Linked DNA regions of Pelodiscus sinensis. Each later gene encodes a partner of the first gene's protein in a complex. Links are inferred from orthologs where the notes say so. Each region holds a gene or a part of one and is shown on either strand. Other genes may lie near its edges.

Region 1 (7,113 bases):
AGTCCCACAAAATTTCTTGCAAATTATTTTTGAAATCATTCTTGGGGATTTTCCTGGTTTGAGCAATGATTTATAGCATTTACAACTGAAAATTATCCTTAATAAGAATTTCAAAAATTGCTTGGCAACAATTAAACTGATTAGCCTTAATAGCAGCAACTCATTTCTTCAGACCCTCCCTCAGTTTTTCATGCAACTTTAATGACACTATTTTACTGACAAACTTCCATGACCACTATTCATAAAATTACCTTTTAAAATTGCACTATACAGTTAAATCAGCTTCCTGCTTACTGTTCTGTTCTAATTTTGAACGTGGGATAGTGTTCTATTTAAGTGCTTTCTTTGTTCCCCTCACTTTGGTATCAGAGTGCCTCCCAAAATTATAAAGTGATGAGTCATTTCTCACTCTTCCATACAGCAAAGCAGCAAAAGATAGATTTATAGGGGTTTTGGGAGGGAAGGCTAGATTGTAAGTAACTTGAGTTTTGCAGTCAGTTTCAATATCAAGCAAGTCCATATTTGTGATCCATTCTTGATGATAATAATATACTGTGTCCAGTAGAATATTGCCATTTTGGAAGGTCATCATCATACTACATGAAGTAATTCTTGGGACAATTTTATGGAGAATTTCAAAGAAGAGAACACAGACTTTGAGTTCAACTCAGTATTTAATGGGGAGCCACTTGTCAGTTGAACACTGCAGTGTTGTGTTCTCAACAGCCTAGGAGACTGAGCATAGGAGCTACTGGATTCTAAACAACAAAGTTTTTATGAGTTTGATGCTTACATATTAAGTACAGAGAATTACTATAATTAATCCTGGTGGTCACATGACTAACAAGTGCCAAAGAACAAGGAATATTTTGCCTTATTCACTCTTCTGGCAAAGAATAGATATCAGCTGAGTAGACTTCGGTGTCACACTTCTGAAAAGAAAGGGAGCTTCCTGATTGTGAGGAAATTCATTTATATTGCTAACATTCCTTTGTCAGGTCACTTCCCTTTTCCCCCCAATATAACCAGCATTCACCAGATGAATTAAAAGGCCACCATCAACTTTTAGAGAGATTCTTCCATTAGAAATCATTTCACCTACTTACCAGTATCTGCTAGCTAGATCAAACAGTAAAACTCAAAAATTAGAAAAAAAAGCTCATTTTTCCAGGATTACTTTTTACATTTAACAGCAGCACAGTGTTTCACTTTAGAAATCTTCTGTAGATTATGTGGTCTCCCACAGCAACAGGAAAGAGGAAATCATTTAAAAATAAGAAAACGTAGCAGTAAAACTACAAAAATTGCCTAGAAGACTTAGAAACTGCTTTTAACTCTTCATTATTAATTCAGTTGACTAGATAGTGGCCTTTAAGCTAGGGATATAAATTTATGTTTAATTAATTAATTAACTGGTTAAATGTTATGTTTAACCCAGTTGTTCCCAACCTGTTGTCAGCAGACCCCTGGTGGTCTGCAACAGTACTGTAGGGGGGTCTGCAGAAAGTTTAAAGTAGAAATTAAAATAAATGTACAGAGCCTACTGCAGCCAGCATGTCCTTCAGCCTGCATTGCTTCCCGAGCGGGCTGAGGGATGCGGCTCAGAAAGCAGCTTGGGCTAAGGGACGTGCAGGCTGCAGGCACAGCTATATTGTTTAGGGAGTCCATAACATTTCAATAGATTGATGCTTACTAATTAACTATTCACATCCCTACTTTAAGCAAGATTCTAGTGTTTCAGAAGGGAATGGGCCTGGGATCATCGGTTAACCTTCACAGTTACATGCAGCTCCTTTCCCCTCCCCCCAACTGCTGGCAGATGGGAGCTAGTGCAAACAGGGAGACACCTGCCCCCACTCTGCTGCCTCAGATACAAGGCAGCAGTGGGGGCGGGGAAGGAGCTGCCTCCCACCTTGCATGTAAATGTGTAATTGCTGAAAATTTCAGCAATTACACATTTACCTAAATAAATGCATTTTAACAGCCCTACATTGCATATGTTTCATGTTTGTGCTGACACTTAAGCCAAAGGCCCAAAGTATACAAGAATTTACATAACGTAAGTGCAGTGATGTCAGTGGGACTACCTTATGGACAGGATGGTCCCCCATACTCAGATTAGCCTGCAGGGCCCTGGATGGGCTACAGCTGGCAGCAGCAGTATTCCCCCCCCTCCCCCCCCGCCATTCACCTCAGGAGTGGGAGTCGTAGTAAAGCAAAGCTACATAGTAGCCAGCCTTCATTGGGGCTGGGGAACTCCTTTTTGCTGCCTCCAAGGTGAAGCGGAGAGGTGGTGGCGGGCAGAGCAGAGAGCTGTGCTGCTCTGCCGCGGTGAGTGTGGGGAGGCGATGGCTGCTGCCATCACATACCAGCTCTACTGGAAATCACCAGGGCTGCGTCCTTTGGGGGAAGAGGCTTGAGGGAGAGGGTGCGATGGGGGACTCACGGAGCAGCACAGATTATGGAACTACTCGGGCCACAAATGGCTCCCGGGCAGAGTCTGAGACGCCTGATCTTAAGGGTCAGACCTCAATTTGCACGTCCCGTTCAGTTCTTGGCCTCTAATAAGGATGCCAATGACCCTGCGCCGCCCCCCCGCCAGACAGACTCGGGGGGGGGGGGTCTCCCGCTCCTAAGCAATAACGGCCGCGCGCGCGCGCTCCCTCACCGGCCGCGCTCCCCCGCAGTCTCTCCGGGGCGCCTCGCAGCTGCTTGTGCAGCCCCCCGAAGATCTCGTGCAGCCGCTCGAAATGCTCGGAGGAGCCGGAGCCCCGACCCGCCATGGCGGCAGCTGCTGTCGTGTCCCGGCCCTCTCGCCTGCTACTAGGGGTCCGGGCTCATCGCCCCCTCCTCACAGGCACTTCCGGGACGCGAGTCGGGGCCTCCCCATCCCAGTGCCTCGTCCCGCCCAGGGGGTTGCCCACATGGCGCCTGATGATCAGTCGCTCGGCACCGCGGGCAGCGGCCCTCTGGCCACGAGGTTCTCGCCTTGCTAGAGCCACATGTGGAGCCCGAATCTCCGCTCGCCAATGGGGCTAGCGCCGTTCTACGGAGCAGGCATAGTCGCTGCCACCCCAAAGGGGAGGCGCCATCCTCCGAGCCGCGCACGGCATGCCGGGAAGTGTAGTCTCTGGGATTGCTCCCATCCAGTAAGATTGCCCCTTGGACGCCGATAGCTGCCGGATGCGTTCAGTCTGGCAGCGCCTGCGCGTGAGGGCGCTCTCGCCAGCGGCGCCGCTGTGGGCCCGGGCACACGCCTCAGGCAGTGCAGGGCAGCTGTGGGGAGGGTCACATGGGAGCGCGGGGATTTTCGGGTGGGTCCCTCCTCCCAATTTAAGTTTGCAAACCCGACCGTGCCAGTGAAGCGTCCTCTCGCCGCGCGCTGCTGCTAGGGATGTCAGCCGTTAACGGGCAGCCGAGCTCGGCTGGAGCAGCCAGCCCCCTTCCCCCATCCCGTTAAGGCGGTTCACTGATTACATGGGATTTCAGATCCCTAGCTGCTACCACTGATCCTGGGGGCTTCTGTCACAGGCGCTAGAGCAGGGTGCCTGTGGGACCGGCCATTGACGGGAGAGGGAGCTGTCCTCCCCCCTTGCCTTGCCTAGGGGCCTGGTGAGCCCGTTGGCTCCTGTGCTGTGGGGTATAGGAAGGGCCACCTCGAGGCCGGGATGAGAGGGGGCATGTGTGGGCACCCCATTTAGCAATTAAAATGTTGGCTGGGGCATAGAGGTTCAAGTGCTACCACAAGTCACTTATGACTCCATCCCTTTGTGCAGGCAAGGGAGGGAAAATGTACAAGAGTACTGCCCTACAAGTACATCCAAGAGCAAAATGTGCACACACCAGCAGCCACGGAGAAACCCAATATGTTGAGTTTGTTATGTTGTGTCATCCAAAGCAGTAGTAGCTTTGTATGTATATGAACCTAATTCAGGTGCTGGCTTGGCAGATCTGGATACTGAATTCTCCTGTCCACGGAGCAGACAGATACAGTACATAGATTATTTATTTATTTATTTAGTATGTGCATAGTCTTCTAAGCCAAGCAATGGCATCTTCAGTGGCATGATGCTGTTCTTCTACATCACCACTGAACCTAGCCACCAGGCATTCAAAGACAACATGTTTCATTGTCTGTGTTATGCTGCAGCTGCTCAAAGGACTTTTCCGAAGGCCACAGTGATAATGATTGGCTGCACAGAGACCTTGCTCAGTCCGGAACCTATTCAATAGGGATCACTGACAATGGGGCAGTCAAAACCAGGCAAGCAAATTGTGGGATCAGCGACGAAGGACTGGTTAGAAATTATAAAGTATCCATTGCTCTCGCCAGTGCCTTGTATTTGGTGGTGGAGTACTGTACACCATTATGGAGTCAATCGTCACACACCAAATAGGTGGATATGCAGTTATATGCCACCATGCATATCATCTCTGGCACTCTGTTCAACTCTACTCCGAGGGCTCCCAATTCTGAGCAATAATATCAGATGCGAGATTGCCACTAGCAAGATATTGGAGATAGTACACACCAACCCAAGCTTACAGCTGCACAATAACCTTTTTAAATTTCCAGCCACATACTTGCCATCACATTGCCTGTTATGGCCTCATCTGCCATGCTAGGATGTTAGAGCCAAACTTGAACAGCTTAATGGGAGTAAATCGGGGGGTCCAGATAATCTTCATCCAAGAATATTAAAGGAACTGGCACATGAACTTGCAAGTCCATTAGCAACATTTTTTAATAAATCTCTAAACTCAGGGGTTGTACCATTTGACTGGAGAATTGCTAATATAGTTCCTATTTTTAAGAAAGGGAAAAAAAGCGACCCGGGCAACTATAGGCCTGTTAATTTGACATGCAAGATCTTGGAAAAAATTTTGAAGGAGAAAGTAGTTAGAGACATTGAGGCTAATAGCAATTGGGACAAATTACAACATGGTTTTACAAAAGGTAGATCGTGCCAAACCAATCTGATCTCCTTCTTTGAGAAAGTAACAGATTTTTTAGATAAAGGAAATGCAGTGGATCTAATCTACCTCGACTTTAATAAGGCATTTGATACAGTACCACATGGGGAATTATTGGTTAAATTGGAAAAGATAGGGATTAATATGAAAGTTGAGAGGTGGATAAGCAACTGGTTAAAGGGGAGACTACAGTGGGTCATACTGAAAGGTGAACTGTCAGGTTGGAGGAAGGTTACTAGCGGAGTTCCTCAGGGATCAGTTTTGGGGCCAATTTTATTTAATCTTTTTATTGCTGACCTTGGCACCAAAAGTGGAAGTCTCCTGATAAAATTTGCAGATGACACAAAGTTGGGAGCTACTGCCAATTCAGAAAAGGATCGGGATATCATACAGGAAGATCTGGATGATCTTGTAAATTGGAATGATAGCAATAGGATGAAATTTGATAGTGAGAAGTGTACGGTTATGCATTTAGGGATTAATAACAAGAATTTTAGTTATAAGCTGGGGACACATCAGTTGGAAGTAACGGAGGAGGAGAAGGACCTCAGAGTCCTGGTTGATTATAGGATGACTATGAGCTGCCATTGTGACATGGCCATGAAAAAGGCTAATACGGTCTTGGGATGTATTAGGCGAGGTATTTCCAGTAGGGATAAGGAGGTGTTAGTGCCATTATACAAGGCATTGGTGAGACCCCATTTGGAATACTGTGTGCAATTCTGGTCTCCCATGTTTAAGAAGGATGAATTCAAACTGGAACAGGTACAAAGAAGGGCCACTAGGATGATCCGAGGGATGGAAAACCTGTCTTATGAAAGGAGACTCACGGAGCTTGGCTTGTTTACCTTAACCAAAAGAAGGCTGAAGGGGGGACATGATTGCACTCTTTAAATATATTAGAGGGATAAATACCAGGGAGGGAGAGGAATTATTTAAGCTTAATACCAATGTGGATACAAGAACAAATGTACAGGCAGTCCCCGGGTTACGTACAAGATAGGGACTATAGGTTTGTTCTTAAGTTGAATTTCTATGTAAGTCGGAACTGGCCCCAGATTCAGCCGCTGCTGCCGAAACTGACCAGGGGCTAACTACAGGAAGCTGGAGGCAGAATTGCTCTGCCCCCAGCTTCCTGGAATCAGCCACTGATCAGTTTCAACAGCGGCTGAATCTCGAGCCTGGGACAGAACAGCTGGGCTGCCAGGTAGGTCCCTGCAGGACCAACCCGGCAGCACCCCAGCTGCTCTACCCCAGGGTCCACAACAAAAGCCTGGTCTGCTGGGGGGGGCGCACTAGCTGCGCCCCCCCCAGCAGACCAGGGACACAGGGAGCAAAGCCGCAGTGGTGGCGGGGTGCCGCGCCTCTGAGGCTTTGCTCTGGCAAAGCCTCAGAGGCGCGGGACCCCGCCGCCGCCGCGGCTTTGCTCCCGGTGTCCCTGGTCTGCTGGAGACAGTCCCCAGCAGACCAGGGACACCCGGAGCAAAGCTGGGGAGGCGCGGGACTCCGCCGCCACTGCGGCTTTGCTCCCGGTGTCCCTGGTCTGCTGGAGACGGTCCCCAGCAGACCAGAGGCACCCGGAGCAGCTTTTCTCGCCCCGGAGGTCGAGGTGGCAGGACCGCTGTGCTCTGGGCGGTCCCGCTGCCTGCGAGCTCCGGGGCGAGAAAGCCCCGTTCGTAAGTGCAGAAAGTCGGATCCGCGTAACTCGGGGACTGCCTGTATATAAGCTGGCTAGTAGGAAGTTTAGATTTGAGATTAGACGAAGGTTTCTAACCATTAGAGGAGTGAGGTTCTGGAACGGCCTTCCAAGGGAAGTAGTGGGGGCAAAAGATCTATCTGGTTTCAAGATTAAACTAGATGGGTTTATGAAGGGGATGGTTTGATGAGATAACATGATCTTGGTAACTAATTGACCATTCATTATCAGTAGGAAATAGGTCAATGGAGGGATGATAGGAGTTACTACTATAGAGAACTTTCTGGGTGTCTGGCTGGTGAGTCTTGCCCACATGCTCAGGGTTTAGCTGATCACCATATTTGGGGCCGGGAAGGAATTTTCCTCCAGGGTAGATTGGCAGAGACCCTGGAGGTTTTTCGCCTTCCTCTGTAGCATGGGGTACAGATCACAGCTGGAGGATT
Region 2 (7,772 bases), about 52 Mb from region 1:
TGGACCACTGCCAAACCTAATTGCTACAAAATATTGTGGTGCTGTTTACTGGGCTGCCATGAAACTCAAACAATTACCCCAAATCTTGAGATTCAGCCGAGAAGTTTTCATCGCTTACAGACTTCTATCAGCTGCTTACCGTGCTATCCAGATAGCGGTTTTGTTCCTCAGCATCTTTGTCAATGTCCAGTGCCAGCTACTCAAGAGAGGAAAGCAAGTGTCAGAGTCTCCAAGTGAAATAATTAACTAACACACTGAAAGCTGGTGAAATTCAAGCACACAAACACTCCTACCCATCTCCCACACATATGCACACAATGTGTGTGTTCAGTCAAATGAAAAAAATGGAATGTCAAATACATGGTATTAGTTGCAATAGACATTCCTAAGATCTCTAGTGTCAGAAGTTCAAACTTTTGTATATGAAGTGACCTTGCAAATACTGGGGAAAATGAAAAAGATTCCAGTACGCTGTTAACACTGTAGTCTCTGCATTAAGAAATGAAAGCTAATGTTTTTTCAAGCCAATGGAACTAGTTTAGTCTCAGGAATATTATCCTGAGAGAACAGAGCACTGAGGGAACAGAGCACACACATTTGTCATGAATATTTTAATATGGTTTTATTGAGACCTTCCTCAGATGGCATCCTTAGGACTATATCTTTGCATATTCTTGCCCCTAATCCCTCTACCCATTTATTTACCAAACCTAATTCCTTCTCTGGATGCCACAAAAAATAACCATATTATAAAGGTACAAACTTGTCTAAATCCCAAACAAGGAATGAGGATTTCAATAAAGTTCTCCAGGATGTTCTAACAGCAAAATTTAGTTACCTGACCTGTCATAGACAGTGTGGTACATAAAACGTCTGAACAGCTGAATAAATAAGACAGACCCGTGTAACCGAATACATGTTTTCAACATCCATGATGTAAGACGGTAAAAAAAAAAGAATGAGGTGTAGTTAGTAACTAACCGATTTCAGCCTGGTGACCTTGGTGGCTAGATTGTCTGCCATATGCTTGTTCTCCACATCTAGCATATCATCCACAGCACTCGGACTCTTACCTACAAAAGTTCTATCAGTTATAATACAACAAGTGGCAGTGTATTTACTGGTTAAAATGGTGGAATGGAGTCAGGATTTCTGATTTCTATTTTCAATTCTACCGCTGAGATACCTTGGACAAGTTACTTAACTTTTCTATACCTACATCTGCACAAACTGAAAGTTAACATTCTCGGAGGTGGATTTGTTAATTTTAAATTTGTTCTACAAAATTACTATTTAGAAAACCTCACATGCACAACATGCTTAAACAACAAACTAAAGTGACTCCCTAACCAGAGAGTTATACCCATTGATTCTCCTGCCCCCAAAATTCAAAACTACCAGCAAATCAAACCATCCACACCTATTTTGTACTGACATGCTGCATGCTGTCCTATAGACAAGACCCAAACCAACTACCCATTCCATATTTATCAACCCGGGCCTTGTCCTGCCAACCCACTATCTTACTGACAGGCCCCTCCCCACATCACAGAAGCACCCCATTCCTTTGTGCCACATGCCTCATTGTCCCACTGAGTCCCACCCCCCCAAGACACATCAACCGATACTGCCAGACCACTGGCTGCCCACAGCCTCCCTGCCCACAACCCTGCTCCAACCTCACAGACAGCCCTATTCTACCCTAGCCGGTCACAGCTCCCCGCCAGCCCCCCTTACCCACAGCTCCCAGCCCCGCAACCCCCCGCCAGCCCCCCTTACCCACAGCTCCCTGCCACCCCCCTACCAACAGCTCCCCGCCAGCCCCCCTTACCCACAGCTCCCCGCCCCGCAACCCCCCCGCCAGTCCCCCTTACCAACAGCTCCCGCCCCACAGCTCCCTGCCACCCCCCTACCCACAGCTCCCCGCCCCACAACCCCCCGCCCGTCCCCCTTACCCACAGCTCCCCACCCCACAGCTCCCTGCCACCCCCCCATCCACAGCCCCTCCTGTCCCAGTCACCCCACCCCACAGCTCCCTGCCACCCCCCCTACCCACAGCCCCTCCTGTCCCAGTCACCCCGCCCCACAGCTCCCTGCCACCCCCCCTACCCACAGCCCCTCCTGTCCCAGTCACCCCGCCCCACAGCTCCCTGCCACCCCCCCTACCCACAGCCCCTCCTGTCCCAGTCACCCCGCCCCACAGCTCCCTGCCACCCCCCCTACCCACAGCCCCTCCTGTCCCAGTCACCCCGCCCCACAGCTCCCTGCCACCCCCCCTACCCACAGCTCCCCGCCCCGCAACCCCCCGCCAGCCCCCCTTACCCACAGCTCCCCGCACCACAGCTCCCTGCCACCCCCTACCAACAGCTCCCCTGCCAGCCCCCCTTACCCACAGCTCCCTGCCACCCCCCCCACCCACAGCTCCCCGCCCCACAGCTCCCTGCCACCCCCTACCAACAGCTCCCCGCCAGCCCCCCTTACCCACAGCTCCCTGCCACCCCCCCACCCACAGCTCCCCGCCCCGCAACCCCCCGCCCGTCCCCCTTACCCACAGCTCCCCGCCCCACAGCTCCCTGCCACCCCCCCTATCCCAGTCACCCCGCCCCACAGCTCCCTGCCACCCCCTACCAACAGCTCCCCGCCAGCCCCCCTTACCCACAGCTCCCTGCCACCCCCCCACCCACAGCTCCCCGCCCCGCAACCCCCCGCCCGTCCCCCTTACCCACAGCTCCCCGCCCCACAGCTCCCTGCCACCCCCCCTATCCCAGTCACCCCGCCCCACAGCTCCCCACCAGCCCCCCTGATCTCTGCCCCCCTCCCCCTGCGTCACCAAACCCGTCTCAAGCCCCTGCCTGGCCCCGCCCCGCTGTTCCTTCTCCCCGGGCCCGGCGCGAGGGCGGTGGCGGGGCCCGGGGCTCCCGTTGCAGCGGGACCGCGCGCGGCGCCCGGCCGGGCTCACCTCGGCCCCAGTCCGCCATGGCCGCGTCCTGCCTGCGCGTCCGGCCGGCGGCTCCGGGAGGAGGAGGAGGACCGGGAAGGGGGGGGGAGGGGCGCAGTGACTCCGCCTCGCGGGGCGGGGCCTCCACTGCCCCCAGCTGCTGGGGCGGAGACCGGGGGCTGGGCTCAGCCCCGCGCGCTAGAGGCGCCGGGCGAGAACGAGGCCGGGCCCTGCTGTCCGAGCAGCCGTGCGCGTGCGCCACACCCACCGCAGGGGCTGCAGCCCGCCCACACCCCGCCCGGCTGTCCCGTTTCTTTGGGCTTTGCGTTCACACGGGGCCACCCCACGGGCTCCCTTTTCAACCTGAGTGCAATGGGCTTTTGTCCGGGCTCCTAACGTCGGAGGGAAAACATGGGGAGGTTTATTAGGGTTGCTAATGAATGGCAGTGTTAACTCTCCTAATTAACTCAATGGATTAAAATCATCCTGCTTAATCACCACTTGACAGCACGCAGTGAACCTGTGGAACTCCTTGCAGAAGGATGTCGTGAAGGCCTGGACTTTAACAGGGTTAAAAAAAACCTGATACATTCATGGAGGTTAATCTATAAATTATTATCAGCGGCTGGAAATGGATGACAGGAGAGGGATACATTGATGATTCCCTGGTCTGGTCACCCCCTCCGGAGCACCTGGCATTGGCTGCTGTGGGAAGGCGGGATACTGGGCTAGTTGGACCTTAAGTCTGACCCAGTATGGCCATTCTTTTTTTCATTCTTATCTCACTGGACATGTATTAAATATTTGTGGATGTTTTCTTACCTTTTCAAATACACTGATTTCAATTACCACACAACACAGGCTGTATAGTGCTCACTTTATATTATTTTATTATAAATATTTGCATTGTAAAAATAGCCCAGCACATGTCGTTTGTTTTAAGAACATTTTCACTACAGATTTGACAAAACAGGAAGAAGGCACCAATGTGAGATTTCTAAAGAGAGCTACAACACTCCAAGGTTTAAGAGTCTGAAGTGCTTTCCAAAATCTGAGTGGACTAAAGTGTGGTGCATGCTTTCAGAAGTCTTAAAAGTGCAACATACCAATGCAGAAATGGCAGAATCCAACCACCACCAAAAAAAATCAACCTTCTGCTATTGACATCTGATTCAGATGAAGAAAATGAATATGCATCAGTCTACACTGTTTCGTATCATTATCAAGCAGATCCTGTGAACAAGAAATGGGCAGCAGTTCTCTTGCAAATGTAAACAAACTTGTTGAGTGATTGGCTGGACAAGAAATAGGACTGAGTGAACTTGTAGACTCTTATGCCTGGTAGTTACTATTAACATAACTGGAGCACCAAGAATGGACAACTAGCAAGATGGGATGGAAAAGAAAAACAGCAATTGAACATTGACATTTAGCACATACCTTGTTATCTTCATGTTTGCTATTTTATACTTAATAGCTTAAATATTACACAATATTAAATGAAATATTTTTTAAAAAGCTAATAGGATAAAATCATAGTCAAAGAATAGGTTTGCCCAGCCCCACTTGATTGTTTTGCTTTAGGGATTTCTTTCATCTGACTTTCTCCGGACAATGGGAGAGGAAAAGATTTTACATTGTTTTATTTCTGAACACAGTTATTTTTATACATAATTCTACCTTGAGTTCAACTTTCATGATAGAGATTGCATTTCAGCACTTGTATGAGGTGAATTAAAAAATACTATTTTTAACAGCACAAATATTTGTAATCACACTTAAAGCCAGCCCTGTACTCTGATGTGTTGAAAGTGAAATCAATATATTTGTAGAAAAACATCAACATATTTAAATAAATAACATTAAATTATTTAACAGTGTGATTAATCACGATTAAACATTTAATCACTTGAGAGCCCTAATGTTTGCATTACAAATAAGGTTTCAATTAAACGGAAAGCATTTCTGTAGCTTATTTTAATAAAGTTAACATCCTGGCCTAAACTTCCTGTGTCTGTTTCACACAACAACATATTATTTATTTAGCCCTTGAGCCTGCAATTTGATCCATGTGAGCAGCCACCTGGGCCTGCTGAGAAGCATGCAAAGATCCAGTAATGGGGAATAAATGGCGGGATCTAGGCGTTAGCTTCATCAGTAGGACCACTCAGGGAGGAAGGTAGTGTGCCTGGTAGCTAGTATTAACACAACTGGAGCACCAAGAATGAACAGCTAGCCAGAAGGGATGGAACCGAAAAACAGCGATTGGGCAGTGACATTTAGCACATTCCTTCTTATTTCTATGTTTGCTATTTTATACTTAACAGCTTAAATATTACACAAAATTCAATGAAATATTTTAAAAAAACAATAGGAGAAAAACATAGTCAAAGAACAGGTTTGCCCAGCCCCGCTTAATTATTTTGCTCTAAGAATTTCTTTCATCTGACTCCCACCAGACAATGGAGAGGAGACGATTTTTCTTTGTCATTAATCCTGCCAGAGAAGGGTGGATGATCAGCACCTAAAATATTTCCATATTGCATCCGTTGTTGAAAATTCTTATGGCTGATCGCAGGAAGCTATCTCTGCCCCTCCCCCGATTTCCAAACCTCCAGTAATACAGCGTTTCTTTTGTCTGTACTACTGTATCGTCTTCTCTCTCCGACCTGTTGCAATCCCCACCCCCATTCTGAATCGGTTGTCGGATGTCAGCACGGTCCTAACTTCCGTATGAGTTACATAGACTCTTTCCCTCCACCCTTGGACAGTGGGGAGGCGGGAAGAGAGATTAAGACCTTCCCCAGTTGGTGCCCCATCCCTGAACCCTGGGAACAGCATCCCGACAGGGTAAATGCTATCACATTCCACCCTGAGCCGGCCGGCCAGCGTTCGAGCTTGCAAAATCCAGCTTTTTTTAAACAAAGCAGCTGCCTGCACAAATCGCTTACATTGGAGAGATGGGGGAGAGACAAGCTGCAGTGTTCAGGAAATAAAGCAAGAAACCTAAGCAAGGAAAACTAAAGTAAAGGTAATGTGCTTATTATATTTTCTATGTAACATCTATTAGCTCCTACTATTTGTTTACACTCCTTTTCTTTACTCTGGAAGGTAGAGCTGTTTTAACCAGTTTAGCAACGTTTTATCGTTTAAAATAAAGCTAATCTGATAATTATTGCCATGGTATAATCTATTTGTTAGTCTCTTAGGGGCCACAGAACTGCTGTTGTTTTTTTAAATTACAGACTAACAGGGCTACCCCTCTGAAAACTGTTATAATAGTTATTGTTAATTGTTTCAGGACATTTTGCTTCTGTGACCATCCCTCAGTATTGAAGAGGTACGGTCTCTACTTTTAGCAAATTAGTTATCATTTGTCCCATCCTGTCCTTCCAAATTGATGAGGATTTCTGTAAAGACTGATTTACTATGAAAGATGAAAAGACAGAAATGTGTATGACTACAGGCCCTGAACCTGCAAAGGCATTACCCCCATGCAGAATTTTTAGGAGTCCAGTTGATTTGAAAGGACTGCTCACAGAACTAAAGTTAAGTTCAGGTGTAATTGGTGCAGAATTGGAACTAGAGGGAGCAGCACAAAGACCAGCATCTATACATTTTTGGTGGATGTGGGCATCAAAAAGAGACTGGTATTGGGTGGGGAGAACTTCTCATGAGTTAAACAGAAAAATGCAAGATGAAAAACAGGAACAAAATCCAAATAGCGAGGTTTGAGAGAAGTGTTCTAGTCCCATGGGAAGTGCTAGAAGCTTGGAGTTGGAAGGAAAGTACATTGTCGTGAACAATCCTGTATTGGCCCAAAGGGGGTGGATTAGAGATGAGCTGCCTTTTTCAGCTTTAATGTCTACATTTCCATGGGATCTCTTTTGAGGAGTTTGGGGTTTTATTGTGGTTTTGAGAGCTGTGTTCCTCTCTGTCTTCCTCAGCCGTCCTAGTAGCTTGCAAACTTCAGGGGGAGCATCATGCTGGGCAGCCAGTAGGCACCCTTAAACTTTATTGTGACAGTGCCATAGAATTGGTGCCCACCACGCAATGAGTTTCAGGTGGAGCTTCTGAATTGGGGTGGGGAGAGAGGTGTATGGGACTTGTCTCAAGACCTTGGCTTTATTGGGGGATTTACACCCTCAATATTTAGTGCAGAATTGAAATCTAGCTATAGAAAATATTACCCTACACAGCCTTATGGAATCATATTCAATAGTGTAGTATATTAACAATCTCTCTCAGCGCTGTCCGTCAACAAAGTGCTTTACAACCAGCCAAATGCCTAGCCCCAAAGAATCTATGAGTATTATTGGCATATAAATGCACATCTAATTATTTACTATAATTGTAAAACACATTCGTGTCAGGAATGATAGAAGCCCGCTGCCCCTATGTTGGACAACAGTGGCCTTTTATCCATCAAGCCAGGCATTTTTATAATGCATTTGGCATATTCATCTTCCCCAGTTACAGACCTACACAGATGCCTCAGAGTGCTAGATTCTTTCGTAAACAAACAAAACAAAATTAAAGTGCTTTCAGTTGACGGACTTCTTCGTGCCACCTTAAAGGACAGCTCCACCTTAACCCAGCCTGCATGGGGCTTGTCTGTCTGTCTTGCTCTCTTGTGCATCTCTTTTATTCCACAAAGAAATTTCTGGGTTTTTGCTGTGCAGGAACAGAAATCAGGACAGTGGGTGGAAGGGGAGGGCTGCAGGGAGCTGCAGTTATCTGTTCTGTGTTAATCTTCCCACTGAGGAAGGGAGGGGGGTTTCCTAAGTGCGTTGGTGGGAGGGTGTTTATTAAACATTGGAAAGTAAAGAGAGGG

What was found. The genes of interacting proteins can lie anywhere in the genome.
Region 2: VTI1B (region 1) and BET1L share a complex: the UniProt entries of both Homo sapiens proteins name them as parts of the SNARE complex. The link is inferred for Pelodiscus sinensis from reciprocal best matches to the Homo sapiens genes VTI1B and BET1L.

The regions. Positions count from the first base shown.
Region 1 is NC_134714.1:72,556,548-72,563,660, forward strand, and holds the start of VTI1B (vesicle transport through interaction with t-SNAREs homolog 1B), read right to left. Parts: upstream 3,029-7,113; 5' UTR 2,784-3,028; coding exon 2,669-2,783; intron 1-2,668. UniProt on the Homo sapiens protein: V-SNARE that mediates vesicle transport pathways through interactions with t-SNAREs on the target membrane. These interactions are proposed to mediate aspects of the specificity of vesicle trafficking and to promote fusion of the lipid bilayers.
Region 2 is NC_134714.1:124,580,607-124,588,378, reverse strand, and holds the start of BET1L (BET1-like protein), read right to left. Parts: upstream 3,119-7,772; 5' UTR 2,979-3,118; coding exon 2,960-2,978; intron 1,074-2,959; coding exon 982-1,073; intron 197-981; coding exon 140-196; intron 1-139. UniProt on the Homo sapiens protein: Vesicle SNARE required for targeting and fusion of retrograde transport vesicles with the Golgi complex. Required for the integrity of the Golgi complex.